2 linked regions of the Callithrix jacchus genome follow. The protein of the gene in region 2 interacts with the protein of the main gene of each other region in a pairwise test. Links are inferred from orthologs where the notes say so. Each region holds a gene or a part of one and is shown on either strand. Other genes may lie near its edges.

Region 1 (3,712 bases), about 21 Mb from region 2:
TGTCACCAAGCCAGATTTTTTTAAATGATAAGATATTCCTCTCAGTCTTTGCAACACAAATAGGGGAGAAAATTATTTGCATTTATATGATGACAGAGTCCCCCCTCCACCCTTTTTTGTAAAGTGATTCTTCAGAAGCTTCTTAAAAATTGTTTCTTCAGAAATGTATATCCGTTCCTCTGGGCAATATTTTTAAAGCTTATATTAGATGGTGTTTGTCTGGAAATTGAGACCATGAGGAAAAGTTGGTTATGTTCCCTGCTTACAGATGAAGTTAAATTAATATGTACTTATACAAGAATTTTCAGGGCCTAAATATAGGAAATTATTTTGAGAGATCTGCAGACAAATCCAAGTGGAGAATAGATAGAAATTATCTGAAAAAATAAAAAATACAGGCAAAAGCACAGCTACCCCTAAAAGAAAATGGTGACATTTCACATTGCTGTAAGGAGGAAAGGGACCTTCTGAATTACTCAGATTGGATACTGATTAACTTTAGTTCACTGCCTGCACTGACCCTTGTGGAATTTTAGACCATTTCAGAAATGGTAGCGGTCTTTACTTCTAACTTTCTCAGCCCTTGAACTGATAGGATTGGCCAAGGTAGATTGGACTTCTAGGTATTTGTGTGGATGTGCAAATTTTGACTATCTTTCATTTTCAAGACCGAACTGTAAAAGAATTATTAGGTATCTTATCGGGCACTGAAGTCACAGCAGTACCGATGACTTCCCCTTCTCTGGCCATGTGACCTGAGTGCTAGCCAAGATAAACACTGTCCTCAGAGAAATGGGCAGGGACATTTAGACCCCCAAATAATGCCACTATGGAGGTCTTTTCACGTATTTAAGAAATGCTTCTGGAAATTAGAAAGCTTGCAAGCAGTGTTTCTGGTTCCCAGTACTTACACAGTTCTTGATATTGAGATCCGCGCCGTACATTATCAGGAGTCGGATCATCTTATAGCGATTCAGTCTCACCGCATCGTGCAAGGGGGTATCTCCTTCCTAGAGAAGCAGAGTAAACAGACTCAAGGTGGGTCTAAGGCCAGAATTGGGTCCTGCAAGGGCACCCAGGCTTGGGGGAGTGATTCCTAACACATAAGCAATGAAGCTTTGGGAAACCCGAGTGTGTTCAGCTACTCACTCTGTCTTTGGCGTTGAGGTCGGCCTCACAGGCGATAAGATGCTCCGCGCACTCATAGTGGCCAGTCCTCACCGCCACATGCAGCGCTGTGCTGAGCAACTGGAAAATTGGAAAACGCTGCTGATTCGCTAGGAATGAGGATAGAGGAGAGGCTGTCCCAGACCCCAAGACATGTGCGAGGGGGAGAAGTGGTCACTAGGGTGTCTGCACACAGCAAGGGCCTCCTGATGACTTTAACGGAGAGGTGAGGTTAGGAGAGGGAGAAGGGAAGGAGGAAGAGGGGTGAGGAAGGGGGAAGAGTGGGAGAAGTGGAGAAGGAGGAGGGTAACAGGGAGGGGGAAGGGGTGATTGAAGGGAAGAAAAGGAGAAGAAATACCTTATCTCGGGCGCTAATTTTTGCTCCTTTGTTCAGCAACAATTTTAAAACATCCAGGTTTCCTCCACGGCTTGCCCAGTGGATGGCTGTGGATTCGAGCTATACCGGGAGGGAAAAAGACCCGACAACATGAAGGAGAATGTGGTCTGGGGAATTAGAAGCTGATTGCCAAGGCATCCGTGATAACAATGAGTTGTCCCCATCTAGACTGCCAATTCTAACTGGAGTCAAAGATGTTTTTTCACCAAATCTGTTAGCAAGTTATATGTGTGTGTGCGTGCATATGTGTGTTTTATTAGGAGGCTCTTAATAAATCTAATAATTTTTAAAAGAACAAGAACGACCATTTATTGAGACATTTCTCATGCCAACATGGTGCTACACTCTAGACACCTTGATTCTTCCAGCAACATTTTGAGGTAGGTGGTACTATGCACATTTTACAGTTAGGAAAAACCAGGTTCCCAAAAGTTCAAGTTTCTAGCCCAAGGAAACACAGTTAATAAGAGGCAGAATACATATTCAAACCCCCATCTGCCTGGAACTTTTAGCCACTTTTGTAAAATATACTCAGAAGTTCTAAACACATGTACTTAAAAATTCTGGCAGAATAAAAGTAGTGCCTTCTAAAATATTTTAATCTGGATCTGACACCTCATCTGTGGTCCTTGTCACTCTTTCTCTACCCCTGTGGGTTTTCTGCTCTCATTTTTGCTGGCACAGCCTCTGTACCTCAACTGTGGTCACTTGTGGCTCCAGTTGTAACTTGCATAGTTAAACCTAGGAGACCCCTTCCTCACTGCTCTGTGTAGTTGGTATGCCCCTGACCTTAATCCCACACTCACGATTTTTTAGTTTCCATGTAAACTCATATTTTGTTTCTTTAATTTTTTTCAATGTGTTTGTATTTTGGATTCAATTTTGGCCAAGTCCTTTGGATTTCTTTGATATCTCGTTTTCCACTTTGCTATAAAATCCAATTGAGCTGCATTTAAATACATAAAGCATTTTCCCAGCTCAATCTTCAGTTCATAAATTATGCTGCATACTGGTCTTTGTAGAAATTACAGTGATTGAATTATTGAAGTCTGAATAGCGGCTACTTTCCATAGATGCAATTCATTTCACATGCAGTCTAGCCCCAAATCTCATTGGTGGCAATTGGCATCTATCATATAAAGTGTGCAGCTAGAGAATTCGTATATGTTGCTGGCAGCCAAGGGACCATGAGCAGGCTGCCCTGTGTACAATGGAGGGACAAGGCTGTTGTAAGTCAATTGTTGAAAATGAATGACTAACTTGCTGATGAGGATATTGAATTCTGTTTAACAGCTCTCACTTCCTTCTTTTCCCTGAAATATTCCTCTATTTTCAGTATGTATGGAAAATATTCCACATGACCCAGTCTCATCTCCCAACTTTATTTGGAGAAATGAGCTTTTGCCTCATTTTCTCAGATCAATTTTCAATCCAGTCAGCCTGGTTTTGCATTGGAGGTTTTCTGGAGCTTCATATGGTTTACTTATTTTGGCTCATTCCCAAGCAAAGAAATATATTTACCATATCACGGAATTCAATCTGGGCTCCAGCTTCCATTAACTTCTCCACAATTGCCAAATGTCCTTCCAAGCATGCTCTATGAAGAGCTGTCCGTTTATACTATCAGAACAAGATTTTAAAAAAGAGATAGTAATAAATATAAAAATGTGCATAAACCCTTTTAAGAACTATGAAGCTGAAGATTCTGATGATGTAACTGAGAGAAACTCAAGTGCTTCTTTATGAATTAGAAATGTCAAAGTTAACTAAAATTGCAGAATCAGAACAATTATCCTGCAACTAATATTTGAGCCCTAAGGGCTCAAAGGCCTATGTTGAGGAATGTGAACTTAAAGGCTCAAAATTACCTAAATGCTGACATCTCCCTTTCTTGTATCTTGCACTTCCCTTGTTCATACAGCATTTACCATGCAGATCAGACAGTTTTCTTGCATCTGGGCCTGTAGCCAGACTGACTATCAAAAAGTTTCAATTCATTTTTAGGAGAATGGGAGACATGCTTTTAGTTCAACTTCAGAAGTGATCCCCAATTTCACTTCATGGGGGAAAGAATACAAAAGGATTAGTGATTTCTGATAAATTGGCTTTATATGAATGGGCTAATGGAGGATTAGAGCTGGAACAACC
Region 2 (4,308 bases):
AAAATATAAATATTAGCCAGATGTGGGGGCACATGCCTGTAATCCCAGCTACTTGGGAGACTAAGGCAGGAGAATCATTTGAACCTGGGAGGCAGAAGTTGCAGTGAGCCAAGATTGCACCACTGCACTCCAACCTGGGGGACAGAGTAAAACTCCATCTCAAAAATAATAATAATAAATAAATAAATTTGAAAAAAGTTAACCTGATTGCTTAGTACAGATTAAATGATGCTATTACATTATTAATCATGGTAGAAGTCAGGACTTCCTGGTGTGGGGGAGCCAAAATGAAAAAAAAAAAAAAGAAGTCAGGACTTTGAAAATTCAGACTTAAATGATGGTTACTATTCTTTAAAAGGATCATTCTTGGATTCTGATAGCATGAAATATATTGGTTTAAATCTAGCTTTCTTAAGTCACAACACAACTGCTTATAGGGTTTCTTCCTAGTCATTCATTCATTTGATAATTATTTACTTAATGCCTACTCTGTTATAAAGCAGTGCACAAAATACACAAAAAATTCTGACCTCATGGAATTTACTAAGAGACCTTTATCCTCTTCAGTCATCATGAGACTATTTATAGTACATTGAATAGATATAAAATTTCTTTGTTTATTGTGATTGCATTGGAGGTTTAATTATACCTTTTTAATGTAATTTTATGTTTACACAGGTAAAAAAAATGAGGAACACTTTTAAATAATTCAGATGAAAATAACTGATATTGAGGAGAGAAAAGAGTACAGGAGGAAATGAATTCTCCAGTTAGGTTATTCTCATTACCACAGTAATCCGGAGCTTCAATATACAGGTTCATTTGCTCTCTTACCTAATCTTGTGCTGATACTAATGTCAAGACCACTTAATTGTCCTTCTACATATTCTATTTATGTGGATATGCCAACAATTTCTTTTTATTTAAAAAGAGGATCTTCCTCCACTATCCCACTCAGATCTTAAGCCATAATCAATGTAAGTGCTGCTAGGTCTTGGGTGGGGATGTGGGAGAGTAGAACCTCTATTTTGGGTGGCTAGTAAGGGCAATGTTTAAACACACTATAAGTTAACACATTTTTACTTTCCTGCAAACTGGGCCAGGCATGGTGGCTCATGCCTGTAATCCTAGAACTTTGGGAAGCTGAGGTGGGTGGATCACTTGAGGTCAGGAGTCCAAGACTTTCCTGCAAACTGCCATGGTGAGCCTGGTATTCTTTCACCCAGGTATAGAATACTAAGGTTGAAAGAGACTCATACTAAAAGCTAGAATAAAACTGGTTGGGCAGGGAAATTAGGAATCTATATGAAGAATTTTAAGTAGTTTTAAAATGCAAAAAAAAGAATTACAGAAAAAAGAAGCTGGCCAGGCGCGGTGGCTTATGCCTGTAACCTTAGCACTTTGGAAGGTTGAGGAGGGTGGATCACCTGAGCTCAGGAGTTCGAGACCAGCCTGGGCAACATTGCAAAACCCCATCTCTACTAAAAATACAAGAAAATTAGCCAGGTGTGGAGGTGCGTGCCTATAGTCACAGCTACTCTGGAGGCTAAGGCAGGAGAATCTCTTGAACCTGGGAGGTGGAGGTTGCAGTGAGCTGAGATCATGCCATTGCACTTCAGCCTGGGCAACAGAGCAAGACTCTGTCTAAAAAGAAAGAAAGAAAGAAAAAAGAAGCCAAAGAAATTCTGAATGGCAGTCATCTTCCTCTTTTAATTTTTCTGAAACATTTTCAAACACAGATACCGTACACGATTTTTTAGCTCTTTGAAAAAAAAACTGAATATAAATGTTTTGAATAAACAATATTTAGCAATTGTGAACACCTTGGTTATGACACATCAAACATATTTTAGATTTTAGTTTTTAAAATTTGATTTCTGCTCCCAAATAACCCAGTTCCCACCTTGCTTATCTTCAGTTGTAATTGTATAAACATTATACCACAAACCTACAGTTCAAGATTTCATCAGAGTTAATTGATACAAAAAATAACCTTTAAAACTTTTTAATGACCAACATAGTTAAACACAAGCCTTGTTAAGTGGCAAGCAAACACAAGGTTGGTTACATGTCTCAAGCCTTCCCCATAAAATTGAGTGGCTCATCCAACACATGTGTTTCTTGTGGTTTGAACATGATCCTGTGCTTGCCTTCAGCTGTTTTCTTAATTCAGTCAGTCAGCCACAGAAACAGTTTACTCACATTGGGATGATCCACAGGAATGTCAAGGAATCTGGAAGATCTATGACAGAGGAAGTCTTCACTTGGACGATAAGCATGAGAGAATTTCCATGCTAGTAGATTCATATAAAATATTTGCATTTGCTATTTTTCTTATATCGCTATAGGCTCCAGTTCTCTAAAACAAATTACTCACATATACCAAAGCTTCAATAAGTTTTGCTTGAAGTTTGTAGATTCATCTTAAGAGACCCAGTATCAGATGAAAAAAACTAAACAAAACCTCTGCGTGGTATTTTTGAAAAACAGACAGTATGTATTTTTTAGCCATTTTTAATGAGAAAAATTTTCACAGCAAAGACAAGTTCTTGACCATCCAAAACAATAGATTGGTGGTGGATTTTAGAAAACATTATACAAAAGGCATAACAATAATATAATTGAAAAAGACAATGAAATCATTAAGAAATTTCTTTTTCATCTAAACAGTACTGAAAATGCTTGCCTGGGAAAACTAAAAACATTTTTAAAAAACGATTTAAAAGTTCAAAACCAACTTAGTTTTAAAAACTAAAAACATTTTTAAAAACTAAACAGAATACCCACTTAAAAACATTACCCTGAGAAGTAAATTTGTGGTTACCTGTCTCAGGAGAAGCACCATTCCTCTATCAATCAACCAGGATCATCTAAAGTCCGAATCTCACTGCCTAACTTGTGTCAGACACAAAAGTGGCACGAAGGGAAATGTGATACAGTCCCGCCAGTGTAATGAAGGGTATTTACAGGGTTCCGTTGCAGATCCAGGGACAGTCATTTAGAACAGATTGCTCTTTCAGATCAACTTTAATAACTCAGTCTGCACGATGTTCTTAGCCTGGAGGGCTGGTGGGGTGGATAATGACTAAGATAACTAAGGAAATAGGCTTTCTTGATTTCTTCTTAGACTAAATGAAAATAGTAGTGACAAAATTCTCAAGAATAAAGCATAGGGAATACATAAGACATCTATATACAGAATGCATATTACATGTGTAAATATCTGTTTAGTACCATGCTGGGACTGTGGTCAAGGCATTTCTTAAGGTAAATATGGAAAAACAATTAATTATTACAGTACTTCCTGCTTGCTCCCCTAATTTTAAGGTGATTAAAGTTTTGTTATGTGGTTTGTATTAAAACACAACAAAGCTTCCTTTACTTGTGCTTTTGGTATATAGCACATATCAAAGTTTGCACTTTTCAAAAAGTATTATTTCCAAGAAGAAAATCTATTCAGAACTCTTTAAAAGAGCGCTCTGAGACTAAGTTACTGATGAAATCTGGAACAATTGTTATCATGTATGTATTCCTCAAAGTATACAGTTAAATCCTACTTCTTACCACATTAATATATATAACTATATGAACATACATAAATACAGTACAATCTTGGTAGAAATAAGTTAACATTTCTTAGCTATGTACTGGGCACTATGCTAGACCCTTTGTGTATGTTGTGTTTTATGTAATGGATTCCCTTAACAGTCTATGAAGTATATGCATGGATTAAACATGTATATAAAAAAAAAGAAAAATAGTCTATGAAGTAGGTATCATTACAATTCTCATTTTACAGATGAAAACTTGAGGCTTAGAAATTAGTTTAAAACTTGCCCAAGGTCACAAGACAAGTAAGTGACTTAGCCAAAATTGAACCAAGGTCTGTGCTCATAACTATTGCAAATATTCAAATGATTACATTTCCAACATATTTGTAAAAAATTAAAGGTAAAAATCAACAGAAAACATATCTTTCTTTTAGTAAATATTCTGAGGGAACTCTATGTAGGGTTTTAAGTTAATGATTTTTCTGACTGAAACCAACCCTGAAATTATCTTGTATGACTAAACAAACAAAAAGAAGTGATAATTTAGAAAGAAAAAAGCAAATGCTTGCAAATAAACTCTATATGCAATATTTTATCTGGGAACACGAATTAATATGTAGACTGGAGCATTAGGCATTAGTGTGGAAAAGTAGGGCACTGGAAGCAGTCAGAATGCTATGACAGACCTATTTTTTTGTTTCTATTTGTTACAGTTATTGTGCTGAAACAATATAAGAGGTTGGTTCTTTTAAAACTA

Evidence for each region.
Region 1: the proteins of MYPN (region 2) and ANKRD1 interact in a two-hybrid assay, tested with the Homo sapiens proteins (2 studies listed by BioGRID). The link is inferred for Callithrix jacchus from reciprocal best matches to the Homo sapiens genes MYPN and ANKRD1.

The regions. Positions count from the first base shown.
Region 1 is NC_133513.1:83,691,466-83,695,177, forward strand, and holds part of ANKRD1 (ankyrin repeat domain-containing protein 1), read right to left. Parts: intron 3,185-3,712; coding exon 3,086-3,184; intron 1,625-3,085; coding exon 1,526-1,624; intron 1,249-1,525; coding exon 1,150-1,248; intron 1,011-1,149; coding exon 912-1,010; intron 1-911. UniProt on the Homo sapiens protein: May play an important role in endothelial cell activation. May act as a nuclear transcription factor that negatively regulates the expression of cardiac genes. Induction seems to be correlated with apoptotic cell death in hepatoma cells.
Region 2 is NC_133513.1:62,291,905-62,296,212, forward strand, and holds the start of MYPN (myopalladin), read right to left. Parts: upstream 2,890-4,308; 5' UTR 2,825-2,889; intron 1-2,824. UniProt on the Homo sapiens protein: Component of the sarcomere that tethers together nebulin (skeletal muscle) and nebulette (cardiac muscle) to alpha-actinin, at the Z lines.